Danio rerio: one gene and its partners. The protein of the gene in region 4 binds, or shares a complex with, the protein of the main gene of each other region. Links are inferred from orthologs where the notes say so. Each region holds a gene or a part of one and is shown on either strand. Other genes may lie near its edges.

Evidence for each region.
Region 1: prpf4 (region 4) and smx5 share a complex: the UniProt entries of both Homo sapiens proteins name them as parts of the precatalytic spliceosome. The link is inferred for Danio rerio from reciprocal best matches to the Homo sapiens genes PRPF4 and LSM2.
Region 2: prpf4 (region 4) and usp39 share a complex: the UniProt entries of both Homo sapiens proteins name them as parts of the U4/U6-U5 tri-snRNP complex. The link is inferred for Danio rerio from reciprocal best matches to the Homo sapiens genes PRPF4 and USP39.
Region 3: prpf4 (region 4) and lsm8 share a complex: the UniProt entries of both Homo sapiens proteins name them as parts of the precatalytic spliceosome. The link is inferred for Danio rerio from reciprocal best matches to the Homo sapiens genes PRPF4 and LSM8.
Region 5: prpf4 (region 4) and lsm7 share a complex: the UniProt entries of both Homo sapiens proteins name them as parts of the precatalytic spliceosome. The link is inferred for Danio rerio from reciprocal best matches to the Homo sapiens genes PRPF4 and LSM7.
Region 6: prpf4 (region 4) and lsm5 share a complex: the UniProt entries of both Homo sapiens proteins name them as parts of the precatalytic spliceosome. The link is inferred for Danio rerio from reciprocal best matches to the Homo sapiens genes PRPF4 and LSM5.
Region 7: prpf4 (region 4) and lsm3 share a complex: the UniProt entries of both Homo sapiens proteins name them as parts of the precatalytic spliceosome. The link is inferred for Danio rerio from reciprocal best matches to the Homo sapiens genes PRPF4 and LSM3.

What each region holds. Positions count from the first base shown.
Region 1 is NC_133181.1:30,702,667-30,706,934, reverse strand, and holds smx5 (smx5), read right to left. Parts: upstream 3,026-4,268; 5' UTR 2,950-3,025; coding exon 2,947-2,949; intron 2,531-2,946; coding exon 2,463-2,530; intron 2,351-2,462; coding exon 2,320-2,350; intron 2,228-2,319; coding exon 2,168-2,227; intron 1,306-2,167; coding exon 1,180-1,305; 3' UTR 245-1,179; downstream 1-244. UniProt on the Homo sapiens protein: Plays a role in pre-mRNA splicing as component of the U4/U6-U5 tri-snRNP complex that is involved in spliceosome assembly, and as component of the precatalytic spliceosome (spliceosome B complex).
Region 2 is NC_133180.1:74,861,448-74,865,242, reverse strand, and holds part of usp39 (ubiquitin carboxyl-terminal hydrolase 39), read right to left. Parts: intron 2,471-3,795; coding exon 2,282-2,470; intron 1-2,281.
Region 3 is NC_133179.1:10,099,306-10,103,888, reverse strand, and holds lsm8 (LSM8 homolog, U6 small nuclear RNA associated), read right to left. Parts: upstream 2,927-4,583; 5' UTR 2,767-2,926; coding exon 2,736-2,766; intron 1,246-2,735; coding exon 1,205-1,245; intron 873-1,204; coding exon 745-872; intron 630-744; coding exon 539-629; 3' UTR 364-538; downstream 1-363. UniProt on the Homo sapiens protein: Plays a role in pre-mRNA splicing as component of the U4/U6-U5 tri-snRNP complex that is involved in spliceosome assembly, and as component of the precatalytic spliceosome (spliceosome B complex).
Region 4 is NC_133180.1:62,705,995-62,709,789, forward strand, and holds part of prpf4 (U4/U6 small nuclear ribonucleoprotein Prp4), read left to right. Parts: intron 1-1,548; coding exon 1,549-1,636; intron 1,637-1,732; coding exon 1,733-1,812; intron 1,813-1,895; coding exon 1,896-1,989; intron 1,990-2,088; coding exon 2,089-2,183; intron 2,184-3,448; coding exon 3,449-3,507; intron 3,508-3,624; coding exon 3,625-3,748; intron 3,749-3,795. UniProt on the Homo sapiens protein: Plays a role in pre-mRNA splicing as component of the U4/U6-U5 tri-snRNP complex that is involved in spliceosome assembly, and as component of the precatalytic spliceosome (spliceosome B complex).
Region 5 is NC_133197.1:10,400,852-10,405,342, reverse strand, and holds the start of lsm7 (U6 snRNA-associated Sm-like protein LSm7), read right to left. Parts: upstream 2,938-4,491; 5' UTR 2,923-2,937; coding exon 2,917-2,922; intron 2,675-2,916; coding exon 2,584-2,674; intron 2,481-2,583; coding exon 2,409-2,480; intron 101-2,408; coding exon 1-100. Other genes in the region: sass6 (spindle assembly abnormal protein 6 homolog), read left to right, coding at 3,296-3,360, 3,511-3,571, 3,661-3,740, 3,860-3,964. UniProt on the Homo sapiens protein: Plays a role in pre-mRNA splicing as component of the U4/U6-U5 tri-snRNP complex that is involved in spliceosome assembly, and as component of the precatalytic spliceosome (spliceosome B complex).
Region 6 is NC_133187.1:13,906,703-13,911,071, reverse strand, and holds the start of lsm5 (U6 snRNA-associated Sm-like protein LSm5), read left to right. Parts: upstream 1-1,524; 5' UTR 1,525-1,606; coding exon 1,607-1,652; intron 1,653-2,414; coding exon 2,415-2,510; intron 2,511-3,751; coding exon 3,752-3,779; intron 3,780-4,369. UniProt on the Homo sapiens protein: Plays a role in pre-mRNA splicing as component of the U4/U6-U5 tri-snRNP complex that is involved in spliceosome assembly, and as component of the precatalytic spliceosome (spliceosome B complex).
Region 7 is NC_133197.1:33,572,230-33,576,526, forward strand, and holds the start of lsm3 (U6 snRNA-associated Sm-like protein LSm3), read right to left. Parts: upstream 3,006-4,297; 5' UTR 2,943-3,005; coding exon 2,922-2,942; intron 2,729-2,921; coding exon 2,618-2,728; intron 1-2,617. UniProt on the Homo sapiens protein: Plays a role in pre-mRNA splicing as component of the U4/U6-U5 tri-snRNP complex that is involved in spliceosome assembly, and as component of the precatalytic spliceosome (spliceosome B complex).

The DNA of each region.
Region 1 (4,268 bases), on a different chromosome or scaffold from region 4:
GCAAAATGACACTCAAAAAATCTTTACTACTATATAAAAAAATAAAATAGTAACCCTCCCTAATATGAATATTTAATAAATTACATACATTGTAAAAACGACAACAAATGTTTTCATTACTTTCCTTTTTTAAGTTAATCAGTTTAACTTAACATATTTGTCATTTGACTTATAGAAATGTAGATGACAATTTATTTTGAACTAAAACACCTAAACATATTTTTGTAGTGTGGTCTACATTCGCTTTGATAAAGCCATGATTACTTTATTAGCGCATAAAAGTGCCTAAAAAACACAAAACAAAGGCACTGGTATATTTTAGGAACAGTAACTACGAGTTTCTTTTACTCTAAACAACTTACTTTTTTGTTTGGGACTAGGCTGTAAACTACAGGTGTCAAATTCAGTTCCTGGGGGGGCTGCAGCTCTGCACTGTTTAGTTCAGTTTAAGTAAGCACAACCAGATTAAAGTAATTAAATCTTTCGGGCTTCTTTGAAACCCAACCCTGCTCCAATACACTTGGAACTGAACTGTGCAGGGCTGCAGCACTCCAGGAATTGAGTTTGACACCTCTGCTAAACTATCCATTCACCTTAACCCAAGGGTGTCCAAACTCAATCTTGGAGGGCCGGTGTCCTGGAGATTTTAGCTCCAACCTGCCTCAACACATCTGCAATTATGTTTTTAGTAAGAGCTTGATTAGCTAGCCCTGGTGTGTCTGATTGGGTATGGAACTAAACTTTGCAGGACACCAGCCCTACAGGACCGAGTTTGGACATGCCTGCCTAAACCAAAACACCAGCATTCCACGAACATAATTTGTAAAATGCTGTCAGCTGAACTCCAACAATGGACGATTTTTTCCACCAAAAGGAAAGTGTGAAAACAGAGGAAAATACTTTATTTTTGCATCAATGTGTGAACCTAACTAAAAGTCATTGGTATGCAGTACAGAACTTTACCAACACTCATTAAAAGCACACAACCACTAACTTGTGAAGTAAAAAAAAAAAAACAGTAAATCACACCCTCAATAACAGGCTTCACATGACGTAAAAATGAAAGAGAAAAAAAAAACTTTACATGTTTTAGGTAAGAAAAACATTTAAATCAACAAAACTCCACAGATGATGCTTCTGAACATTGGAACAAAACCAAACTATTCTCAAATATAAACATTATTGTTTCTGTTGTGTAGCTTCTTTGCGTGCAGCATCCTGTAGTAGCTGTGTGTCCACTTCATCTGCAGGAAGCTGAACGTATCGCACCACTGATCCACGAATGAAGCAGTTCTTCACAGACAACTACAACAAAACAATATTAGAGTCATCTATATACACCAAAGTTCTCCTTGTTGAGCACCTACATCACTATGACAATTCATAAATCACAGACTTAATAACCTGATCTACATTAATTTAGGAATCAATTCAATTATCAGGGTTCCCTCTTTAACCCTTTAGCTGCCTGCTCTATCAAATGGTTGACCGTATTTTCACCGTTTTAAATAATGGTTTTCACTACACAGCATTGTTGGTTTACAAAAAAAAATCCTGTTGCAATTCTACACTTGCTTTCTAGTTAGTTTTTTTGACAATAAAACCAAAGCAATGTTATATGAGAATCTGAAAATATTTTATTGCATATTTCAAAAAATAAAGATGACTTAGTATTCAAAAAAAAATTTTATTTTGAATATTCTTTAAAATAAATTGGTCCTACACTTGCTATTTTCAGATTTTTCATAGTATTAATTTCTGTACTTTTACCATAAACCAATATATCAACCATGACATGAACATAACAGGCTTCTGTAGTGCTTATAAAAAATTGTAATATTAAATTAAAAATATATTGAAATGGTTTTAGCCATTTTATTACATTCATTTAATAGCCACTATGAGAACAACAAATGATAATTTACTTAATATAAAAAAAAAATACTTGCGGTTTGCATGGCTGTAAATATCAAATATATTTTAATAAAGAAAAGCTAAAATGTAAAGTAACAAACAAAAAATCCCTGTTATTCCATGAATCTGACAAAAATATATCAACATTTCCTAAATTTCAATGTCTGAAATGAACCTTTTAAAATTCCATGACATTGATAAAGATATTAGACCCAAGATTATGAGTGTAATTTTCATTTCATCCATTTCTCACCATGTGCGGATATTTCTCTGGATCAGTAACACTGATATCTGTCAGTTTGATGTTCAGGTACTGTGAGGGAAGAACAAATGACAAGATTAACTTAATCCTAAATCGCCCAATATTTGTTTATATTAATAAACGTGTGGAGTCAGTTTCCGTACCTGATCAACTGAATGTAATGTTCCACATATGCTGCAAAATAGATGTGTTCATAGTTTTACGAGCTGGCACATACATTATAAAATATGTATATTCAATTTCTAATTATATATATAATATTTGTAAAAGAAAGGTGAGCACTCACCTCAAGTCATTCTTGAGCTCCACCACAACATCTTTGCCAACCAAAGACTTGAAAAACGAGTAGAAGAGCTGAGAATAAACATTTGAAGGAATTACTCTCAAAATATGAGGCGGACAGCAAATAAGACATCGATAAAACGATTGAATCAAGTTTTATCAACAGACCAAATGAGAAATGTCAACAGCAAATAACACTGCTTTCTAAATTACGCAGGCAAATGAAATACCAAGACTTTAATATAATAGGAGTCAGCCAGAGTTGTTTCTGTTGGGCATTTAATTAAGGGGATAATCCTTGCTTGAGAATGTTGTTTTATTTGGCTATGAAGAAAGCTAGCGTTAGCTGTTAGCATGAAGCATTGTTTGTCTTTCTCGCGAACACAGTGGTCAAAAAAACCTAAATATGTTAAACAAATGGTCGTAGCACGTTTATTAATTCCTTAAACGTAAATTACTGTATGATATTGCTAAATAACAACACTTACCATTTTCACGCGGCTTTGTGCTTTAGATCACATACGTCATCAAAAAGCTGCCGGGTCTTTCACTCTGTGCTTCTATTGGCTAGAAGAATGAAGACGTAAAAATCCCATTGGTCGCGAAATTGTTGGCGTTTTGTTCTGTTTTTGCGTCATTTGTACTCATCTCAGTAAATTATTCCGCAATCGTTCATCACACAAAAGAGATTAAAAGGCGCATGTTCAATGGATGTGAAATATTTTCTTAAAACAGTCAACTTTATGCCCGAAGAGGTACATGACATGTCTGACACAGAGCTTGCTGATACACGTACATGGCTCCTCTTTTCTGGCAATTCCCTCTTTCGTCAGCAGATGGAGACAAATAATAATAAAGCACAGTCCAGGGCTCAGGTTAATCCTCTGCGTTATCCCCATTTATAAAACAAAAAAGCAGTCCACTTACAAAACGCTATATTGTAAAACAAAACAAAACCTCCACGACATGCTAATGATTATAATGTTTTTCACGATTATGTATTTATGTGCATCCAAAAAATGTAAATTCAGCCAATTTAATCAATTTACTTGTTTAAAACCATCTTGATCTTTCCATATTTTGAAGAACGTTGGGAACCTGTAACCATTGACTTTAATAGTATGACAAACAAATACTATGAATGTCAGTGCTTACAAGTTTTCAACATTTCTGAAAATAAAAATGGATTTTGGATTCTCTATAATTTAAAGATAAATGTTCCTAAACATATAGAGCCTTCTTATAACATTATGCTTTAATATGCATTCTCCTGTTTTTAAAAGCAAGCATTCTGAAAATTACCTAGAATGAATATAAGCAGGGATGGGCAGTATTTATGATAGGGTTGATGGAAATGGCTTAATGTTTTGTATTAAAAATACATTAATGTCTTTTATTTTTGTAGTTTAAAATATTGTAAAATACTTTGATGCTAAATGTTTGTCACTGAAACAAACAACATAACAATAAGTCCTACAATAAGTCCTACAAAAGGGACTAAGCCGAAAAGACAATGAATGAATAAATGAGTGGCGATTCCGATGCTGTTTCAAATGCCAGTAGTTGATCTGCAGATGCACTGTACTGTTAATGAAAAAGAAAGATGTACTGTATGCCTAAACATGTAAAAGTGACAACATGAGAAACGCACATTTAATAATTAAAAACTTCTGACAGGTTATACAGAAGGAACATGATATAATATATGAAAAGTTTATTTGCAAAAAAAGATAATTTTTTGAAAGTTTCAGAAATCATGTTTTTACACTGAGTATTAAAGAATCAGTTTAATGGTGAAGGGACTGATCAA
Region 2 (3,795 bases), about 12 Mb from region 4:
CCCTGCTTAGCTTCAGTGAGTAACCGGTCTTGGGCTGCAGGGTGATATAGCTGTGACATGCACCAATGAGTTAACATGAACTAGCAATGAACTACTGCATTTTCATTAACTAACATTAACTAACATGAACAAATACGGTAGTAGATGTATTGTTCATTGTTTGTTCATGTTAGTAAATGCATTAATAAACATTAACTAATGAACCTTATTGTAAAGTGTGAACATTTATTTATACCTTTCTGATTTTACTTTTACCTTCTCGTTTACAAACCCATAAACTTGTGCTTAAAGGGCACCTATGGTGAAAAATCTACTTTTAAAGCTGTTTGGATAGACATGCGTGTAAGTATAGTGTATATACTGTCATATTGGGGTGATATAAACACACCCAGTCCTTTTTTTTTTTAATTTAACAACATAAAAATAGTAGACTAATTGGAGCGGTTTTCAGATCGGCCGCAACTTGATGTAGGAGTGCGGTCCCCCCGCCCACCAATATTGATTGACAGCTGCGCGCATTAACATGTCTCCGTAGAAATCATATCAACAAGACAGGACAAGCGCAAAGCAATTGTGAACAAAAGGTCTGTCCAGTTTGCTAGGATCATCAATCATCATCAAACGTGATCAAGAGTGAGTCTTACAAGTTTGAAATGTTCTAAAACAGTGCATGTGTGTAATGAAGTACAGCGATTCACTTTAGATTCACTTCATCAGCACAGCCACGTGTCAGAACAATTATAAAAGACGCTTCAATCCCAGTTTGTGGACGTTAAACCGGGTTTATTTTGTACACTAACATAACAGATATCCATTCAGCAGTGTATATTAACCTGTACCATGTCACAAATTGTCCGTAGTGTATGTGAGTGATTGTGTGTGGATGTTTCCCAAAGAAGGGTTGCGGCTGGAAGGGCATCCGCTGTGTAAAAACGTGCTGGATGAGTTAGTGGTTCATTCCGCTGTGGCGACCCCGGATTAATAAAGGGACTAAGCCGACAAGAAAATTAATGAATGAACAATAAAAGAATTAATAAATGAACCAAGTCCAGTCCAACTGGACTCAAAAACAAACTTAATGTGCTTGCAGACCTTTAATGTGCACTGCCATGCAGCTTTGACAAACACATACAACTGTGTGTGTGTGTACTTGCCATTAAGCTTGGAAATTTTCTAAATAATTTTTATATATTTCCAGGGTATCTGCAGGATTTTGAAATCAATTTAAAAGTTTAATGACCTTAAAAAGCAAACAAATACAAGTAAAAACCTCATTTAAACCACCGAGAACATAGAAATTAAAATGACTGAACAGCAAATATAATTTCCAAATCATTTGCCAGGGTATCTGCAGGTTTATATTAAGATTTATATTTAAGACCTTTTTAATACCACGCAGAATGAAGTTTAAGACCAACTGTAAAGTTACATTTTTTATAGTACCAAAAAAACAAACAACACAGCTAATTACCATCCTTAACACTCTTTTTACATATAGAATAGTCAAAAAAAATTAGTAGAGAAACTAATAATAATAATTGAGGTGCAGCGGCAATCACCATTCGGGCCGGTCATGACAAAAACCATCCAGTTCCAGTCCCTGGTCAACTGATTGATGCATCTCTAGCTCTTTATTTGCTAATCCATAGGTTGACACAGCTGCTATAGAGTAAAATTTTGATAAAAGTAATATAAAATTGATAAATTAGCGATGCAGTGGCGCAGTAGGTAGTGCTGTCGCCAAGCAGAAAGAAGGTTGCTGGTTCGAGCCTCGGCTGGGTCAGTTGGGGTTTCTGTGGAGTTTGCATGTTCTCCCTGCATTCGCGTGGGTTTCCTCTGGGTGCTCCGGTTTCCCCCACAGTCCAAAGACATGCGGTACAGGTGAATTGGGTAGGCTAAATTGTCCGTAGTGTATGAGTGTGAATGAGTGTGTGTGGATGTTTCCCAGAAATGGGTTGCAGCTGGAAGGGCATCCGCTGCTTAAAACATGTGCTGGATAAGTTAGTGGTTCATTCCGCTGTGGTGACTCCGGATTAATAAAGGGACTAAGCCGACAAGAAAATGAATGAATGAATATGATAAATAAAAATAAAAACAAAATCTTCTTTATGGGGTCAGATCGATTCAATTGCATTTTTAAGACCTTTGAAAAGCAGATTTAAGACGCTTTAAGATTAATTAAGGTCTTATCTTTATACTATGGAATTTAAGACACTTCTGTGAACACCATGACTGACAAACAAGCAAGAAAAACAAACAGACAATTTGCAAAAAATTGCACCTTCTCTGTGTTCCCATTGAACTTTCCCAGGATGTTGAAGAGCGGGACCTGAGGAATGATGAGCTGCTCCTTCTCGTCTTTGTAAAGCGGTGCGGTGGGCAGATCCAGGGTCAGGTAGAGGAAGGTGGACTCCGACATCTCCTCCTGATACTCCTCCTTCAGCAGAAGAGCTTCTTTCTCCTCTGGAGGCTGACAGAAAGAAAACAATTACTCACATGAATGAATGACTTATCCCATTTGGCAAAGAGCTGAAGGCCAAATTATTAGCCCTCCTGTGCAATTTTTATAATTTTTTTGAAAAGTTCACAAGTGATGGTTAAAGGAGAGTTCTTTTCGACACACTGATGACAGTACATAATATTTTTCTAGCTATTTTGCTTTCGTATTTAGCTTGGAGAGCAATTTAAAGAATTTAATTCTGTAGGTCATTAGACAAGAGAGGTTTGTTCTGTAGCCAATTTGGAAAAAATAATAAGTTATTAAGAGGGCCAATAATACTGACCTTAGCAAGTTTTTAAAGGGTCAAGAAACACCAAAACACATTTTTTGAGCTGTTGACAGACGTCTATGTGTCCCACACTGCTAAAAACACTATTAGGACACCTATATTTCACTAAAAACTGTAAATTGGTTGTTTTTGCGTTATTTCAAGCAAATTCGTACTTCCGGTTTGAAACTAATTTTTGAAGCTGCGTCACGGTCATGACATAATAGCCTGTATTCCAGCGTGCAGACTGGACGTCTGTGCCAGAGTGAGTCTTATTACGTCTTACAGTGTGATGCATTAATGCATGAGTAAGGCTTGGTTCAAACCAATCAGCGCGCTCTATTGTGCAACTTCATTAATATTCATTACTGTCACAGTGTTTAGACGACAGAGACGCCACGTTGTGTTGGCAAAACAAGCGTGAAGTGTTGCTTTTATAGTTTGCTGCTGTTAAGTTTTGTTTTCATTTTCTCTCTGTGAGAGCGCAGCTGGAGTCACGTGTGGATTAACAGTGTACGCGACGCTCGACAACAATAACTTACGTGTCTAAGGAGGATTATTGTTTACATGAGAGCTGTTCTCATCTGCAAACGCTGAGATCCGGATTCGCTTGTAGTCTCCTCTTAATAAAGACGCGGCTCTAGTTGCTGTGGATTGTCCTGTCTCTACAGATTTGGTAAGTGAGCGACCAGTGCTATTTGTTTATTCAGTTTGTTCGTATCGAACTAACGGTAACTATTGCACCGAGTGTAAACATGTTAGCACCACAACCAAACTTTAACCTCGTGTAGGATTTTCACCGCATTTAGTGACCGGAATAACACACGCGGCTTTCTGACGCTACCTGCCGTGTGCATCTAAGTTTCCGGGAAATGCGGAGGTTTTTTTTTCTCTCATTCGCCGTGCGGTATCAAACATTGCATGAAAAATACCAGCTTAGAGCAGCTCCTCGAATCAAATATCTCGTTTGTCACGAGGGACATGAATGAATTCCCTGAATGAAAGAGCCAAACTGCAGTTAAAGTCC
Region 3 (4,583 bases), on a different chromosome or scaffold from region 4:
ATTATATACAATTACTACATTTAAATAACTGTTACAAATTATTTATAATAATATACACTTATATTAATGTCTTTTTTCGTCATTTTTACGATACTGCAATGAGCTTTTCTTTGTGGGAAATAAGCTAAATCGTCATGAATGCAATAAAACAAAATGGGCTTTAAATGCTTTTCAATTTCTTCATGTAATACGGAAATTTCTTTTGACTTTTGGGTGATAAAATAGGCATTTTGGAGATGGACCTAATCTTACTTTTACTGTTAATTTATTACTTTTTTTGTTTTTGACTGAGAATTATCCAGAAAATGGATACTTACCAATATTTTCCCCTTTATACAAGTTTTTAAAAAATTTAAAATCTTGATTTATCACTTTTTGTTTTATTATTTCAACACCCGTAAAAAACAAAACAAACAAAAAACAAATATGCATTCAGTCTTTTTCAAGATTAAAAAAGCAGGTAATATTGCTGCTTATAGATGCCTGCAGATTTCCTAGGGAAAGTTTTCAACTGGATCAAAATGAAATTTTCTGTCCATCAATGCACCACAGAATTGAGTGGTTCTGCTCTTATGTTTCCAAGATCCAGCGCAGAATCGGTTTCTTCATCAATCTCACCGATCACAGCCCTTAAACACAAAATAATTTCCCATTTATGTCAACCAAATAAAAGAAAAAAATCATAAACCTTGCACTGTTCTGCACAACATAAACATAATTACAAGAAAGGAGTTTAATACTCACACATTATCTCCTCTGACAATATACAGTCCCAGAACCACCTGCTCGACCCCCTGTGAAGAGCTGAAGACCCGCTCGTGGCTTTCATCCAGGATGAGGTTGATTGCCTGATCAAAGCCTTTTAGCGTCCCCTAAAAACAGCACAAGTCAGTAAGCGATCTTCTTCATTTCTGCACACAGACAATGATTAATTGGTAAGTTCACCAAAAAACACAGATTTTAATATTAATTTATTCACACTCAGGCTATTCACAATCTAGGGGACTTTTCTCCTCAGTTAAACATAAAAGACATTTAAACAAAACAAAAATACAAATGAAAAATATGTGTCGGAGCTGTGAGTTACAAGTGATAATGTTTAGATTTTCCTAATACAGTCAAACACTCCCAAAGTGTCTTTGACTTGCACTTTATTAAACACAAAGGTGGATAACTCCCTTTAAAGTACACGAGGAAGACTCACCACGATCATTCTGCCATCCGAAGTGACAATAGCAACAGTCCCTTGAAAAAAATCACAGTCAAGGAAATTTCAAGCTCATTTTATGTATGCATGGTCACTCACTGCGTTTATTTGTTCTCTGGATTTGTGTTTATATAGTACACATAATGTGTGTTCAAAATCTCTATTAAGTATTTTATTCATTGACTGATTCATATTCTCTATCTATCTATCTATCTATCTATCTATCTATCTATCTATCTATCTATCTATCTATCTATCTATCTATCTATCTATCTATCTATCTACATGAATACAAATGGTCATGGTCAAGAAATTAAAACTTTTCTAGATTGTTTTACATATATAGATTATATTTATATACAGATTAACATGAATACGAACAATCAAATATACTTATTTTTTACGAAATATTTAAGAAATGAAAATGTTTCTAGATTGTTTTACATTTCTAAATTATATTTATTTATAGATTAACATGAATAAAAACAGTCAAATATGCTTACTTTTAACCAAAAATTAAGAAAAGTTTTCTAGATTGTTTTACATATATGTATTTTATCTATAGATTAACAAATTCAAACAGTCAAATAAACTTATTTTTACCGCAATTTTAAGAAATTAAAACGTTTCTAGGTTGTTTTACATAGATTATATTTATATATAGATTAACATAAATACAAAGGGTCATATATAATTACTTTTAACTAAAATTGAACAAATGAAAACTTTTTTTAGATTGTTGGATTGCATCTATATGTAGACTAACATAAATGCAAATGGTCAAATATACTTAATTTTATGCAAAATTTAAGAAATAAAAACTTTTCTACATTGTTTTACATATATGGATTACATCTATAAATAGATTAACATAAATAAAAATAATCAAATATACTTATTTTTACGAAATATTTCAGAAATTAAAACCTTTGTAGATTGTTTTGCATTTATAAATTAGATTATATGTATTTATAGATTAACATGAATGCAAACGGTCAAATATACTTATATCCAAAATGTAAATTTTTTTTTTTACTTTTCTAGATTGTTTTACATACATAAATTATATCTATATAGATTAACATGAATACAAACAGTCAAATATACTTATTTCTACCCGATATGCAAGATGTGAACACATTAATATGTAATATTTACAGTAAATAGTAATATTCCAGTTATATGATATGTCTTAATTAAATATTTGAAGACTCGTTTTCATTGGTCCAGAAAAAAAAACTCAAATATTTGACAAAAAACAGGCATCTATGAAGTTAATATCACATCCAGATAACCGATAATCATCTTGAACTGATCTATTTTGCTCAAGAAATGTATGTGCGTACATTAATATGCTATAACGTGAATTATAACGACGTATGATCATCAAAAGCTAATTCACTTGCTGGCGCGCCATATATATAAAGTTAGACATTTCACGCTCAAACACACACAATCAACAACAAAACACGGGGTATCGATCAACAACATCACCGCCGTGCTGTTCACGATGCGTATTAAAGGATACGGTGAATGTAACTCTCGAGAGCGGTGGACATCTTTTCTGCTGGTGCGTGTTTTTAAATCCTCCGGTGCTCGTTCGCTAGCTCCTACAACGAAAAGCATTCGTTCTTGAGCCGGAAGCGATAACGGAGAGACTCGAGTAGGCGATGACCGATTGAGCACAACTTCAGGCAGAACTAATGGAGTTGGAGCAACGAAAGCTGTCATGAGTGAATTAGTATTTATTTAATAAGCTTTAAATAACTAGTACGCGACAATAGAACACACATTTTAATGCCAGGGATGATAGAAGATAAATATAGTAAGAGTACAAATAATTAAACATTAATTAAGAAGCAAAACAAACACACGTACATAAAAATAAGCGTATAAATAATTAAATAGATTTCTTACAATTACACACGTTTACATCAATCAAAACTGTTAAAAATAGACCACAAATGGACAGTGCTAATGAAGTTAATTTTATAGTTTAAACAAATTAATGTGAAGTTTAGCCGTCGTGAGGGAGTGATGCGGTATTTGTCCAGCAGATGACGCGCTCTGGAGATTTCTGGTTTCTAAGGAAGAGAGCACAATACTGTTTCTAACGAGTAACTTTAGAGATTATAATCAGTTCTTGCTGAAAAGGCTAACTGTTTGAGGGTCAAAGTGGGGGTCGATGGAAACACTGGTGGTAATGATGACGACGGCACTTACACAAAAGTACAATCAATGGTTGTGGGATGATTTCAGACGCTAATTGTAATTGTACATCGCCATTATGGGAATTAATGCTGATTGAACTATATAAAAGTGCTGTAGTGGTTAAAAATAGTTGTTATACGGTGTTTTGCTACACACTAGCATGGAAAAAATAATTAAAACTTGTTAATATTCGTAAGGTACTGAATGTTTAATAAATTTGATGGAATTGTATGGTGGTTCTGGAATTACGTTGCTATTACATCAGAATCAGGGACTGACCTAACCAATGATGTAATGTAATGTGTATTTATATTATAGATCTTACACCAAAAGCGGTTCACAATCATGAGGGGGGTCTCTCCACACCACCACCAGTGTGCAGCATCACTTGATGATGCGACGGCAGCCACAGGACCACAGTGCCAGTGCGGACACCACACACCAGGTATTGGTGGAGAGACAGTGATAGAGCCAATTCGGTGGATGGGGATGATTGGGAGGCCAGGCCATGATGGGTAAGGGCCAATGGAGGGAATATGGCCAGGACACTAGGGTTACACCCCTACTCTTTACGAGAAGTGCCATGGGATTTTTATTGACCACAGAGAATCAAGACCTGGGTTTAACTTCTCATCTGAAAGATGAAGCAAGCAACCGCTTAGGACCCCAAGAAATTTGGGGGCCCTCAATAATTGCCCACACTGTAAAACGTTTCACATTGGTTAAACTTACAAACTCAAGTTCAGCAGCTGCCTTGAAAATGTGAGGCAACAACTTAGAGAGATTCTTTGTTTCAATGTAAGATGTTGAGTTTTAGTTAAATATATTGTAAAACTCAACATCTTAAGAATCTCTCCAAGTTGAGTTGACTCACATTTTCAAGGCAGCTGCTGAACTTGAGTTTGTAAGTTTAACCAAGTGAAACGTTTTTACAGAAGCGTAAATCATATTTTGAATGGTGATGGTGTAATAAATGAGATTTTAACGTAATTATACCATCTACACAGATTTGTTTTACACACCTAATCATAGAGCAGTCCACCAGTCAAGATAAAGATTCAGTTTCAGAAACAATTTATTATTTTTTATTTATTATTTTTGTTGTTGTTGTGAATTCATTTTAAGAAAACAAATCATTTAAAATATAGCAGGGATGCGCAAACAT
Region 4 (3,795 bases):
AATCAGTGTAAAAGGCCTGCCACCACAGCTAGAGAAAATCCTAGAGGAAACACTGAGGGGTGTATCAGTACATGTATTCATCCTGAACTACCCCAATACAATGGTCACTGTTCTGTTCCCATGCTCCCTTGACGAATACATTCAGTCCAGATGTGCAGTGACTGTTAAGGCAGTGCAACAACTGAGCAAGACATTCACAAAGAATGCATCTTAGTGTTTAAAAACACGACACATTAGCACTCACTAAAGTTCTTCTGATTGGTCCACTGCTCTAAATCTGACAGCATGTGTGACAAATAAGCGCTACCTCGGGTAACTCAAATTCGTTTTATCGTCACACTGCTTCAAAGCAGCCGATGCTGCAAAAAAACTCCACTAATACGGTCACTTATGTCCGTAAACAATGAAAATATAAGATACAGTCTCATCATGTGAGCTTGTAAGTCAGTCTTTAAGTAATGCGTGACTTCTCTATACACACATAGTATTGAACATCTGTAACTGCTTTATGGATGTACACAGTGCTGCATTTTCCTTAAACGAGATTTCACTTTTGAAGTTTACTGAATCTTACCTTTAATACATAATTATTGTTTTTCCTGAATTTGATTTGTAAATTATACATTTCTTATTAGTTTCCTAATTATAAAGGTTTATACTTATACTAATTCTAAAAATACATTTATTTTGTACTTTTGCATCACAAGAAGCTCTTCAGTTCTGTAGCTGTTTATGCCAAATACTTCTGCCTGTTTAAAATAAACAGAAAAGACACAAACTGGAAATTTGTTATTACTTTTTGTTGTAACATACACTCCTACCCCCAAAAACCAAGGGACATACTGAACCTTGACTCCAGTGTACCGTTACACTATGTAGTCTTTATGAAATCCGTTTAAGTTTTTACTAAATTCTATTTTTCCTAATGTTTTTTTTAATAAACATATTTTAGTAACCAAAAAGCAAAGTTAATTGAAATTTTGATTTGTTTTTATTTAAAAAGTTTAATATAGAACACTTTTTGACTTTTAGCTAACCAATGAAATAGGTTTTACTTTTTTTTCTTCTAACGTTCCATTTTATTTCTGTTAAAATTAATACCTGCTTTAAAAAAGTAAGCATTTCTTTAAAATAGTTATTATTAGGATTGCTGCTTTGAGAAGTACATTCAACTACAAAAATAATTTATTTCTGTCATCATTTATTTAAGAAAAACCAAAATTGTATTTAGTTTTGTGGCTGATTTATCACTGCCACTTCTCCACACCACACTGAAGAGGTGTACAGCAGAACTTTGGATTTATTCATCAACAATTTCCAAATCAGTGACATCATCTTTTTACTAAACTATTTCCAATTTATTCACTGAATTGCCCTATTCCATCATCTTCCATCATTTGGGACATTCCATCAATGTCCCAAATTAAAGGACAAAACCTACTTAATCTGTTTTATCTGTTCAGGCTAATATCCATTACAGAGAGTTCAGTTTAATTCAGGTGTTTATTATTATTATTCTTAGTTTTCTTTGTTTTCTTCTTTACACAGATTGAGAAACGTTCTTTCAGTACTTGGTCCTGATGCCTTAAAGAAATCCAAGAAAGAGGATGAAAAAGCAAAACGCACTCATGAAGAGGTAGGAGCATCTGCTTTAGTAGATGTTTCACTTTATTATAGACTAATTTATTTGTATAAAAAACGTAAGGTGATTGTATATGCATATTTTGTGCAGTATCAACAGACATGGTACCATGAAGGACCTACATCTCTGAAGGAAGCGCGTTTGTGGTTAGCCAAGTATTCACTGCCTAGGTAAACTCTGAAACTGTTTTCCATCAGCAGTATAAATATTATTATAATAATTTAAAATTTGGAATTGTTGTTTTGTTTTGCAGAGCTGTGAAACGTTTAGACGCAGCAAGAGCCCAAAAAGAAATTCCAGAATCTACACGAACAATTAAACAGCAAGAGCTTCACAAGAACTTGCGGGTACGACAGCATGTCAAAAAAATGAAAAAAAAAATCTATATTTGTCTTGTCACTGCTGTGTATAAATTTGTTTTTATAAATGTAATTTGTTTTATTTAGAATGTAAATAACTTCTGCAGCCAGATCGGAGACGACCGTCCAATATCTTACTGCCAGTTTAGCCCCAACTCAAAGCTGCTTGTGACGGCATCATGGTATGTGCTGTATATCAGTTTTGTATTTAATTTAGTACATTATTATAAAAATTCTGTATTATTTATCTAAATTTTGGGGCTAAAAATAAGGACTTCAAAAATGCTTAATTGCTGCTTTAATACAGCAGAACAAAGAGAATATAGTTAGTATTTTTTTTTCTCAGAAGGAAAATTTGTATTGGAAATACTGTGGGAATTTTCCTTGCCCTGCTCTTGCCTATACATGTACGTTTAAAAAAAAAAAATTCTAGCAACTTAAATGTGAAAATTTTTTTTTTCATTTTGTTAATTAACTAAACGTTATTTGTTTTTAAAGACTTTTAGGTTTGGTTTGATTAAAACAAACTAGTACTATTGCTCCATTGGTGCAATTAATTTAAAAAGGCTTGAATGCTTCCCGTTGAACACTGTCCTGTGCCAAACTAGTGGATCAACATTAACTTTTTCAGCACATCTAAAAGAACACTGACCAAATATGTCTAATAGAGATGTGCGGTTTAGCTGAAATGACACCAGAATCCACAGCTTCATACTAATCATCCACCCGCCTGCACATATACTTTTACCTGATATATGTATCTGGACCCGACTCGCACCCAGTCTTCAATTAAATAATTTATTTCTTTGTTTTAGGCATGATGATAGGTCAACAAGGATATTAACAGCAGATTCAGTGAGCTAATCTGCGCATCTCTGATAGTAAAATAATATGTTAATCTTAAACGTTTTTAAATGAACATTTATTTATGAAAACAAAAGTTTGTCTTTTAGACAACATTTTCCTCATTTTTTTAAAAAAGATACAGAAAGTAAAAATAAGACATTTTAGCTTTTACAGATACAGGAACAAGATAACAAAAAGGGTGTCACTTCAGCCTAAACGACGGCTATGTTATGTTTACTTATCTACTATGCCTGGATTTGGGCGATTCCGCCTCACCTTCAAAACCAACACAGAGCAAGCGTTTGCTCGCAGATATAAAACACAAAATGCCACCATGAAAAGGACATAATAATAAAGCAGCTTTTACCTCGCATAGTTTGCCTAATTTTAATACTGGCATTAGAAATGAGTCTTAATTAAACCTCAATGCAGCACACAGCATTGTTTTGTATGTTTCTTGCTGTTGTTGGTTTTTTTTGTATATCTTCGGTTCAGTATTAAAATACGAATAGAAATGTGAATGCTAAAACATGGCTAAATGTATCATTTTGCACCAAACAAACAGAGCTGAACTTGTATTTATAAGACATTTCTGTTGTAGGTCGGGCTTGTGTAAATTGTGGAAGGTCCCCGATTGTACTCTTATACGCACATTAAGAGGTAAATACAGCAAATATATTCTGTAATGTTTATTCATCAAGTTGTCTGTTTGTGTTCTAGTTTTTGAGGAGCAGCTTGTAGCGTTGTATTAATCGTTGGTGAACCCTTCCTCTTCAGGTCACAATACCAATGTGGGAGCGATTAGCTTTCACCCACAAGCCACACTAACACTTGAGGAGTCAGATGTCAATATGGCCTCTTGTGCTGCAGATGGATCTGTTAAGCTGTGGAGTTTAGACAGGTGTGTATCTTTTAGGATTATGTAAATCTGTTATCTGAAGGAAAACT
Region 5 (4,491 bases), on a different chromosome or scaffold from region 4:
ATCCCATCCTGTGGACAGATGAGCACAACAGACGTCCCTCGACAAACAACCAGACCCAGCTGCCTGGTGTCTTCGGTCAGTTTATACTGGTCATCAGGATCTGTGTGGGAAATAAATGTGGTCAGAAATCATATAAAACCATTGATATAATGATAATAGTCAAACACAGATGTCTTTACTCTTAGGGCGGGGTTTTTTCGTATTTTCGGATGTGTTAACACTTGTAGTTTAGTCAGTTTGTTTGGACCAAACAAAAAAATTATACATAGTCCTAGTTTGTCAAGCTTTCATACTCTGATTTTTGACAGAAAAGCAGCTGCATTTATGACATTCAATTCAGCTTATTCAGCTTTATTTGTATAGCGCTTTTACAATGTAGATTGTGTCAAAGCAGCTTCACATTAATGGTCATAGTAACCGGAACAGTGTAGTTCAGATTTTAGTGTTTAAGTTCAGTTCAGTTCAGTTTAGCTCAGTTCAGTGTGATTTAAAATCATTACTGAGAGTTCAAACACTGAAGAGCAAATTCATCAATGCGTAGCTCTACCAATCCTGAACCATGCGAGCCAGTGGCGACAGCGGAGAGGGGAAAAAAACTTCACCTGATAGGAGTGAAGAAAAAAAACCTTGAGAGAACCAGACTCAGTTGGGCACGACCATTTTAATTTCTCCGCTGACCAAAAGTCATGTGCAGAGCTTCAGTCACCGCGGTGGATTCTGTGACTTTAAATTTTCAAAACAATTCTGTATGTTTAGATACACTTGTTTGCTGTATGTGCATGCACACATTTTTTAATCAGTTAAATACGGTGCCCTAGAGAGGACAAATGCAGTGTAAACATGCAAATAGAAAAACACTTACAAACTGAGAATTAATCGTCATTAGTTTAGTAACGTGAATGCAACTTCCAAAATATGCACATAGAAATGTTTTGGGGGACCTTTGGGGCAGCTTTCTTTTTAGAGACAGTGGTGTTGTCAGCATTTAAAGCTAAAATTATCCAAACACCAGGGAATCATACAACTAGGACGTTAAAGTAAAACACTCAGCTCTTTGACAACACCACCACCTCTAAACAGGAAGCAGAGGGTCGGGTTCATTACATTTTCAGGTCCCCCGACACATTTCGGTGCATATTATCACATTCAGGAATATGTGTCTCAGCTTTCTCAATCTGTGTTTTTCTATTTACCTGTTGTTGTTTTTTTTTTAGTTATAGTTTATCCGAAAACTAACCGTTTCACTACTAGATTTCAGCATTTTTCAAAATATCTTCTTTTGTGTTTAACAGAAGAAAGAAACTCAAAAAGGTTTGAAACATATAAAGGGTGAGTATTCAATGACTAGGCGTGGGACAATAACTGTTTTAAGGTTTATCGCGGTTTGAAAAGTCAAGGTTTTAAAAACGTTAAAATTGTCTGTTATACCGTTCTCAAGGTATTTGTAAGTTTTTTTTTTACGACTATTTTATTGAGTTTTTTTGGGCAACAATAGAAAAGGACCATCCACATCACAAGTTACCATGATTCAGGAAACATCTGAAAAACAAATCTCTTATAAACCAACATCCAGCATGCTGTAGAGCTGAACAGTGTAGATGATTTTTTTTATATCCAAAGAAAAGAAAGATATCCAAAGATGCCTTTTCAAGTTGAAAAGAAATCTGTGCTTTTGAAACTAATTAAGACAGCAGAAGTCAATGACATTCAACAATTAATAAACAATAAATTATTTAGCCTGACATTATAGTTTCAAAATATTTTAAATGTTAAAAAATATAAACCATGTTCAATGGGGGAAAAGTTTTTTTTTTACTCAGACATTTAAAAATAAAATATTTTGGAGCAGTATGTACAATAACATGATATTGTGTAACTGTGATATTTCAACCTAAGGTTATCAACCGTCAGAATCTTATACCAGCCCATGCCTAACAATGACAGTATTCATTTTTTTAGGGTGAACTATTTAACTTCAAGTGCATTTAAACTCTCTCAGAAAACCATATTAAATGTGTCAAACCAACACCAGAATTTCCTCTGGCTCACACACACCCAAATGAAGATCTGCTGAGACTGTTTCTGATGCCTGAACTGAACGGTAAGGAGCAACATTGTTATGCTGACAAAAATAGCTATGCTGGAGCATTCTGCCTTTTTATGTTTAATATCATGGCATCATGTCCTCTTTGGGTTGATTTAGATGCATTTATATATCAGTCAACCCACAAGAGTTTGTATGTTGCTTTATATAATTTATAATTTAATAAATTGATTAATTTTATAATTTAAATTGCAGCATTTACACTAAAATTTGTTCAAAACAAACCACACTAACATTAATACTGTGAGAAATTTAATGCAGAACATAATTTGGTACATATTCGGTTTACATTAGCACATTTTACCTCGCATGTATTCAATGGTGCCGTCCAACACAAGATTCAACAACGGGTCGAAGCCTTTTAAGACGCCACTTGCTGAAAATAGGAAACACTAGTGTCAAATTTACCACAATTCATTTAAATATCATAATGTGAAACATTTAAATTCATAATTAATTTCATAAAGCAACTCCCTCACCTTCGCGACCTCCTTGAAACTTTACACGTATATGTTTGTCGATGTATTTCGACAAATCAAAAATACTCTCCTTCTTTTTCTTGTCTTTGTCCTGAGGATCCAAAAACATATTATATAACAATCTCCAGGCCTCTATAATAAATATCAGACTCGTAGCTTAGCACAAAAATACACCACACATCACATTTACAATTACCAGCACACCCTAATGTGTAACAACATAAATATCAAGAGTGTAGGATATATTCAGGTGCTTATATGTTTGTTTATAACGCCGTTTGTCCTTAAAAGTGTTTATAATGTGAACGGTGTGGAAACGTTTGCGCTACTCACCGCCATGTTCAAAACTCCTCTACGCCCCGCCCACTCCGGGTTCACGTTTGACGTCTACCTCTCGGCCAATCACAACGCGCGCAGGTGAACTCTGATATCAAATGTTTTCAATTTTATCAGCTTTATTCACGCACAACTACACAGTATATACAGCTTTAAATGTTTATATCTATATTATACGATTTATAAAAACAAAAACATGTTGAAATACGATGATACGCGTGATTAGGTTGAAGTGTTTCTCACTTCCGGTTGGAAACGGACAAACGCGGGAGTGAAGCGCGAAAAACAAATGAGTCTTTCAACAACCTAAATAACATCTTTAAAACAGGATTACACGATTTTTAATTATTATCGTTGCTTTGTGAATGAATTAGGAATGACGGAATTACTTTTTAACAAGCGGTTGCAGGTGCTGGTGAAGAGTAAAGATACCGATGAGAGGTTTGTGTTGATTGTCTTGTTTTTGAACACAATGCCTAACTTAAATTGATTTATGGTATGAATTTTGGCTTTATTTTGTCTGTAATTATTAACATTTCGAAGTCTGTAAGGGTCTATATGTGTTTATATATGTTGTTTTTGTTACTACAGGCGTTCGGTTATTCGCGTTAGCATTGAACTGCAGTTACCATCCAGCCCTGTTCACAGAAAGGTTTGTTATTAACATGTGTACAACCATATTTATGCCTTTAAGCATGTTTTATGTGGTCTTATAACTTTTTTTAAATTTTTGATCAACAGGATTTAGTTGTACGGCTGACTGATGATACTGATCTTTACTTTTTATACAACCTTATCATATCAGAGGAGGATTTTCAAAGGTATTGTGGTATTAAAAGTGTCATTTCATCAATGAGCCATATTTATTTTCAACACTTTGCTATTAGGCTTCTATGTGATTATATTCTGTGTAATCGTTTTTATTTGCTCTTCTTCACAGCTTAAAAGTACAACAAGGGCTTTTAATAGACTTCACATCATTCCCACAAAAATTTATAGACTTACTTGAACAGTGCATTTGCGAACAGGACAAAGAAAACCCACGGTAAGAGGTTATAATTCATAATAATGTTCAGATGTTGCAGTTGTTAAAGTGATAGACAGGCTAAAGTCAATAATTACTGATGATTTAGTCAACCTCAGGACAAAAATTTCTTATTGGTTCTTCACTGAGTCAAATATTAATACTGTTTGGTGTTTATTTCAAAAATATAAACTTTTTGAAATGAAACTTATATAAAATTTTATAAATATCTATCTAACTATCTATCTATCTATGGGAAAAAATAAAGAGACCCCTTGAAAACTCTATATTTGTATTTGTCTGTACATGTTTGAAAACATTTCTTTTTTTCTTCTAAATTTCAAATCAAATAATGTCATTTAAGCATTTCTTAATATTAAAAATAATAATAGCAATAAACGGTTTAAGAATTTTACTCTTGTATGGTTAAAATGGACACTAACATGTTTTTTGTAATGTTAATTTTTTGTTATTTTGCACAAAAATCAAAGCTAAAAGCACATCGAGAGCAGGGATGCAACGATTATAAATGTTGATCGTACGATTAC
Region 6 (4,369 bases), on a different chromosome or scaffold from region 4:
CATACAATACTTTTTAATAGCCCCATCTAACCCCACCCCTAACCCTACCCATCACAGTGACGTCACTTGCTCCATTTGAGTGCATTGTGTCTGACACTGTATCGCTGATTGATGCAATCTTAGCTTGCATCATAAAGGCTGCATATTGGCTATGCCAGCTTTATACCAAATCTGGGCCAGAATTCCTTGTTACCTGGGTATTGATGTTTCAAGTCTGAATACAACCTTAGGCCTATAATGATTTTTTTTTACTCTGGAAGTGGAACAGTTACAGTATTGTCAAGTTTTACAAAAAATGGAAACCTATTGTGGAAGTGTACTGTGTTCTGTGTTTTGGTTTCCGATTTGGTCCGTCATTCCATCAGAGAGGAGATACTGGGAGATGGAAAAATTAATCAAGCTATAATCAAGCTATAAAACTCCAAATTACCGTGACAAATTACTGTGACATACAGTTTGGTAGCCTATATGATGCAACATTTTGACTGACTGACATGCCCTTTAAAAGAAAAAACTTGGGTAACACTGCTCTAATGTTACAGCCACAGGCTGTACAAAAAGCCAAGCCCCTCTCATGCTATCGATGTAAACAAAGTAGTAATCTGTTCAGATTCATCTTCAGCCTTAGTTAGTATAGCAAACTCAAAATCAGATAGAGAGGATTTAATAACAGAAATCTATTTATCTTTATATAGATTAAAGGAAATAGGAGTAGTCGTTTATTTCTGCTGGGTTCCATCACATATTGGGGTATCTGGTAATGAAGTTGCTGACAAATTAGCAAAGGAAGCACTAAATAAGCAAGAGGAAGTAAATGTACCTCTGGGGAAAAGAGAGGCAAAATCGATTTTAAAGGAAAAACTAATAAATAAATGGCAAATTAGATGGGATAATAGTAATACTGGAAGATGGCACTATAGTATTATACAGACAGTAGGGACAACACTAAATCAAGGAAGAAATAGGAAGGAAGAGGTGTGGTTATCAAGATTAAGATTGGGACACACAGGGTTAAATGCAACACTTGCGTTAATGGGTTTACATGAGGATGGGAAATGTGATGTATGTGGTGTAACTGAAAATGTGGATTATGCACTATTTATATGTAGCAAATATAATAAACATCGCAATATGTTATTCAGTCAGTGTGGGGAAGATAAAACAATATATAAAATTATTCTAGGAAAAGGTATAATAGATTGGCAAGTATATAGAGCGTTTATTAGGTATATAGAGTATTCGGATTTAGGTTATTATAGTCTTATATTTATGGATGAGAGTATTCTCAATCATTGTCATAAAGGCCCTTTATGTTAGAGGAGCTGAACACGCAGTGCTGACATGAGTATGTGGTCTAGATGCAAAGATTGGACAATATGAAACATCCAAGGTGTTTTTTTCCCCCCTTTCCCTCCCTCCTCGTTTCTTTTTGTTGCCCTTTCATCGGAGTAAGATTCGGTACAGTAGGTGGCGATAATGCTTTTAATTGTTAGTCGCCATAAAACAGAAAGAAGAAGAAGAAGAAGATGCTATCGATGTGTGCTGATATCGATTATCCATGCTTGTAATTGGCTTCCGGTCCCGATTATTCAGGTCTGTTATCAAAATGGCGGCAATCACAGCAACGAATCCTTCGCAGCTTTTACCACTCGGTTTGTTTCACTTTCTTTAAAATTGCTTATCATTTACTGACATAACTTTTGTGTTTTTGTACGGGGCAGAGATGCCAATCAGTCACGTTCGTAACTCACTTTGCTTTTTTATCTAATTGAATACACCTGTGCACAAAAGATGTGGCCCTAATCATGTCAATGTGTTTTTATTTTAACTTAAATATTTAATTTCACAAATTTATACATCAATGTGTGATTGATTATATATAAACGGAAGCCAGTTCATTTAGTTAGTGTGGGCGAAAAAAATAAATCACTAATATGTTTCCCTCTGTTGGAGTTTAAAATATTGTAATTATGACTTGGGAACACATTTATCATTAACAATTTCCATTAAGATGTATTTATAAGTAAGATACTCTGAAAATAAAATTTTATGTATGAGTTACGACATTAGAGATACCGTGTCAAATGATTAAAAGCCACTCCACTCTTTACTCGCAGGATTTTTTTGTTGTTGAGTCAAATAAGCCTAAAATTAGTACTTTAAAGAATGAATTTGGTATTAACATATTACTCAATCCCACACCTAGTGTTAAAGCCAAAGAAATTTTAAATTTTATTAAACGTGGTTCGTTAAAAACTTACCTTGGCTGTATAGTTGTTGAAGTAACGTTTAACATAAATTGAATTTCTTTACAAGGTTTTACAGTTGTATATCACACTGACCACTCAAAATGTTTCCTTTAACAGCCAATGATGTGACTGTGTTTATGATGGGGATTGTGTGCTGTCTTTCAGAGCTGGTGGATAAGTGCATTGGCTCTCGGATTCACATCGTTATGAAGAACGATAAAGAGATTGTGGGAACTCTGCTTGGGTTTGACGACTTTGTCAGTATCCTTTACCTACTGGCGGTAAAAAAATAAACAAAACACTGTCAAATATTTGTGATGTTTACAATTTAGTTTTGGATTCAACTTTTTTTTTTTTTTTTTTTTTATAAATACTGCTAGCTAAAGATATAGTTACACATAAGATTTCCCTTTATTTCCCTTAGTCCGTTTATTAATCTGGGGTCGCCACAGCGGAATGACTCGCCAACTTATTTAGCATATGTTTTACGCAGCGGTTGCTCTTCCAGGGTGGAAAATGGCATAACGGCAGCAATGGTTACTGAACAACAACGTTGTGGAATCAGTCTGCCTAAAGAATGTTCATTAGCCTGTGCTTTAGTTTTAGCATTTTAATATAAGAAAATGTCCAACAAAAGAACTCTATCATATTTACAGACTCCAAATCATGCCTCCAAGTGATGGAATCTTCAGAAAATGATCATCCTTTGATTAATGATATTATAACTAAAGTTCACCATTTACAAAACCATTTTTTTTCATATTTTTTTTTTTTTTTTTTTGCTGGGTTCCGGGACATGTTGGGCTTTCAGGAAACGAGCGAGCTTGATCCAGCAGCTAAGGATGCTTTGAAATAAGTTGTGAACGAATGCCAAATTCCTCTTTTAGAGATGAAATCTTTTATCAACGTTTACTTTTTAAATAAGTGGCAAGAGGAGTAGGATGCATTGAGAAATAATAAACTGTATGAAATACAACCTGAAATCTCAAACTGAATTTTTAGTCATTTTAAGACTAAATTTGATTTAGTGATTTTTACTAGATGTTGTATTGGACATGCAAGAATGATCCATGCTTTTTTTTTTTGCTCAAATGTGAAGACCCTGCTCAATATTTGCACATCACACTTTCTTTTACAGTAAAACAGATTTTACTGGATTGTCCTGCTTTTAACAATTCCAGAAGGCTTTTTTTTTTTTTTTATCAAATGATGTCTCTTCAGGACATTTTTAGCAAAATGACACCTGGAAAATAGTAAAAAAATTATAAAAAAATGTATTAGCATTTAAAGATGTATTTAATTTATGTATTCATTTGTTTTTGTTTTTTAATTGTATATTTATTATTGAAATGTTCTTGCCATGAAAATAGCCTTGCATTGCTGACATGGCATTAAATAAAAAAATACAATACACTACATCACATGTTGTCAACAGAGAAATGTAAATGTCTATGTAATGTTATCTTTGCGATGTTGTACATTTCCTTGATGCTTTACATCAGACATGGTCCTAGAGGATGTCACAGAATTGTAAGTATATTTCCTAAACAAAAATATTAAATATTTGCTTAATTGTCTTTGCACAGTGTATTCATGCATTCTCTTCTGCTTTGACTTAAAGGATAGTTCCCTCAAAAATTTTAATTGTCAACATTTACTCAACCTTCTATTGTTCTAAATGCTGTTCGAGTTTCAAACGATCAGTATCCTGTCTCCAAAATTTTAGGTGTTTGTTTTATTAGGATAAACTATCAATAAAAAAAGCACTTTCGTTCTAGAGATTAACTAAAGCTCAAGTTTTATACCATTAGACTATTTATACTGTATTCTAATTATTCTATAAACTATACTGCATAGAGAAGGCATTTTCTAATCTTTTTAGAAACTTTTTTTAAAGTATGCTTAGTTAGAAGTTCAATGGTATTAGCAAATTTTTATCACTATTGAAACCGTTTAATATTTTGTGACATTATTATTAAAGAATAATTCCAAGTATTATCATTGATTAAAAAAAAAAAAAAATCAATTGAATGTGAAGTGTACTTGAATGTGAAGTGTACACTCATGTATTCAAGATGCAAGGAAAATTGGATTATGAAGTATTTTCACAAGAATTTATA
Region 7 (4,297 bases), on a different chromosome or scaffold from region 4:
AACATTCAGCACATGATCACTAGTATGATGTGTCATTATTTATAACTTTAGATGCCATGGTTTCTAAAACAAAATCTGTCAGGGTTATCTTTCTCATCTTCAGCGCTTTACAATTTTCGCGGTAGTAGCCCTCTCTGTCGTCCGAAGCCAGAAGGCGACTGAGTGATTAACAGCTGATATTAACCAATCATTCGCATTCAGTGCTAGAGCAGTGGTGGGCCAATAAGAAGAGCGCAAAGGCAGGGCAAGCATTACGGACTTGGATTTGTTTACTGCAACAAGTTGACATGATAACTGTTTTAAACCATTCCCGAGCGCTGCATTTTTGCAGACAAAGAGCAGACAAACTGGTTGCACACAACAATTTTAAGCTCTCGCAGAAATGCTCCCAAATATATTTTAAGGTCGCATAGATAAAATTTCGGGCGCATATGCGACCAAAATAGTCGCAATTTCGAGCCCTGTTAATGCAAATATGGTAAATAAAAGAAAATAAATATTTAAAGAAATGAATATTAAAATAATAAAAGTATATTTATGTCAACATTTATCCTTTTTGGTTGTGCTGTTTAATTCACACAAAGGAAGTTGTATTCAGTACATTTTTGGTCATCCATAAGTTTATTTACCTCTGTAAAATACAAAACATTTACATTTTTCTGATCCCTTATCTCTGTGATTTGTTATTAAAATCAAACAGATTTTTCAATATACTGTTCATATATACATACGTACTGTTAAAATAACACATTAGAACTGCTGTAGACTATTAGTTTAGACTTGTATTTTAGATCTAAATACAATTACAATATAAATATTATTTTAATCCTCTGTATGTTTCCTTTCTTTTACTAAACACTTTACATACTACACTAATGCGTGTAGTCAATTATTAGGATAAAACATTTGATTATTACATTTTAATAGATTTTATCAATTCACTTTTACATGTTTTTATCCTTTATTTTCTCCAAAAAATCCACAGACCAAATTCATGTGACTTTAATAACAGAACATAATACATTTAGAGACATAATTGAACTTGAGTCTGTATAAAATGTAGTATTTTCCCTCAAGGGCAGAATAACTAGAGCAGTGGTTCTCAAACGTTTTTCATCAAGTACCACCTCAGAAAAAAATTGTCTCTCCAAGTACCACCAAAATGAGCAGTATTGAGATACAATAGCCTTGTAGGCCCAGTAAAGCAGCTACAACTCTGCACAGTTAAAAAAACGTGGCAGATTACATGAGAAATATAGGCTATATGTCATATGACATTATATACATCATTTTTATCAATTTTGAAATGTGTGTAGCATGTACATGACATATTTTATTCCTCCACGTACCACTAGAAGGAAGCCTGCGTACCACTAGTGGTACACGTACCACAGTTTGAGAACCACTGAACTAGAGTATATAATATGTACAATGTGGTAGTTTCTCTCATGTGCAGTATAAATAGAGTATATAATAACTACAATGTAGTATTTTCCCTCACATGCAGTATAACTAGAGTATATAATATTTATATAAGTATTTTCCCTCATGTGCAGTTGTAGTTTAATTAGTATATATATATATATATATATATATATATATATATATATATATATATATATATATATATATATATATATAAATAGTATTCCCAGAGATGGGTTGCGGCTGGAAATGCATCTGCTGTCTAAAAACTTGCTGGATAAGTTGGCGGTTCATTCCGCTGTGGCGACCCCGGATTAATAAAGGGACTAAGCCGACTAGAAAATGAATGAATGAACATAAATATAATAATGATAAATATAATATGCCTAATGTTTGCCTCAGGTGCAGGATAACTAGAGTATAATCTGTTTAATTTAGTTTTTTCTCTCAAGCGCAGTCTAACTAGAGCAGGGGTGGCCAATCCTGTTCCTGGAGATCTACCTTTGCTTTGTTTGAAACAATATTTTTTGTCATTATTAGTGCAAACTTATATGAGCGATTATATCATTAAATGTGGAGGGGGGCCTAACAATATTTTCCAGGGAAAAAGGGGGTCTCAGGCAAAAAAAGGTTGGGAACCAGTGAACTAGAGTATATACTAAAGTAGTATTTCTCCCGCACATGCAGTCTAACTATAATATTTAATGTTTAATTTAGAATTTTCCCTCACGTGAAGGCTAACAATATATCTATAAAAGTACTTTACCTCAAGTGCAATTTAATAATGTTTAATGCAGCATTTTCCCTCACATGCAGATTAACTAGAGTCTATAATATGTTTAATGTAGTATTTTCCCTCACGTGCAGTATAACTGTATAATGTTTAATGTAGTATGTTCCCTCACGTGCAGTATAATTAGTGTAACTTATATATACACAATGTAACTTAGTATTTTCTTGCACGTGCAATGTAACTAACTTTATGTAACATTATATAATGGTTAATGTAGTATTTTGAATCAGGTTTAGTATAACGTTATATAATATGCTTAAGGTTGTATTTTTTCCAATAACGTACAGTAGAAACGTGTATTTAATGTAGTATTTTCCCCTCGTATGCAGTATATTATGTGGCATTTCCCTCACGTGCAGTATAACTAACTTAGAGTATGTAATGTAGTATTCCCCTCACATGCAGTCTGCCACGCAGTTCTCTGTCATTCCTCATCTTTACATAGATCCTCTCATCCAGACTGAGCCGAATCAGATCCAGAGGCTCTTCTACGGTGTTGGTGGTCTGTTGCTGTAAAGTAAATTTCAGTGATGTATTTTATTTGAATGAAAATGTCCATGCAAACAATCGTCGTAGTTACAAGCTGCTTTAGCATAGGCTACCCGTGTGTTCAACTAGTTAAAAATAAACACAATTAATACGATTAACCTCCGCGATAATCAAACAGCTAACGAAATATTTATACAAAGCAAAAATTGCAAACCTGCTCAGCGTCGTCCGCCATCTTTCAAATCTACCCAGAATGCATTTTCCGTTTCTCTCGCGAACAAATCATTAGACGGAAAATGCATCTGCTTCCTGTTAGACATAGATATATACGTTAGATGTCGCCTACCCTGTTGTTGTCTATTGGAAGGAATGCGTCAATAGATCCACCATGTTAGTACAGGGAACCGCTCCTTTGAAATGAATGCAAGCTGTGACCATCCAAAGCCAAAGATATACACATAGGCTATGATCGGGAGTTTTCCCGGATGTCACTGTGCAATTATTTATTTATTTATTTTTTTTAAATTACGAAAATTATAATTTTTCATCCCTTTTCTACATTGATGGATCAGTGATCGCACAGACATTCCTGAAAAAAGCTTGTGTTTGTGAGTATGGAAGTACTATTCCCCCTCCCTGTTAGATTTGAAACACATCTCCTCCTGCTTCCTTTAAATTCCGCATTTTCATATCTGGGAAAGCCCATCTCACATTTCCTGCAAAGGAAAATTAGACAATTTAGTTGTATAGTGAAAGTTGTGAGGCTGATCATCTGGATTGCATTGTTATCAAGAGTAGGCTATTTGGTGTTTATTTATATGCAATTTTGCATATGAAATTGCAACTTTATCAATTAGGCAATGTTGGGGTCACATCAGTCCAACCTTTAACAAAACAGTCACAACTGGACTTGATTTGGTTGCTTTATATGTGTAAAAAAAAAAAAGAAAAAAAAAACTTATGGTGTTTGAGGTCAAACTGACCACACTGAAAAAAAATGAGAAAAGTGGAAAAAAAATTAAGATTATTTTTTTTAAATGAATTTTAAACCCATTATAAATTTTAAAAAGTTTAACATTTCTGCAAAGGCCTGGGTCTAGAGCACAAATAAAAATTGGAAACAAAAACTTTCTGAATATTAAAATTTTCTAAATATTTTCTTTTGCATGTCACACAACATGACAGTAAATTATTATAATATTTCTTTAAGAAATAAATAACAAGTTTAGCTTGCTGCACTTGAAATTCAACTAAAAGCAAATGCTGAGAATGTGTGACAGTCAGTTAAATATATATATATATATATATATATATATATATATATATATATATATATATATATATATATATATATATATATATATATATATATTAAAAAATAGATGCAGTAACCTGTGCCTGTGTTGCTATTCAGTTATGTAGATCGACTGTGTAAGCTGAGAAAATATTTTATAGCCTACCATTCCTTCTAACGCTGAAGGACTACTGAGACATTCAAGCATGGGATGGGTCCTAAAGCATCAAGAAGTAAAAGCTGAAATGAATAGATGCATAAGGACCCCTGCTGGATATATGTGGAAACTGCAGCTT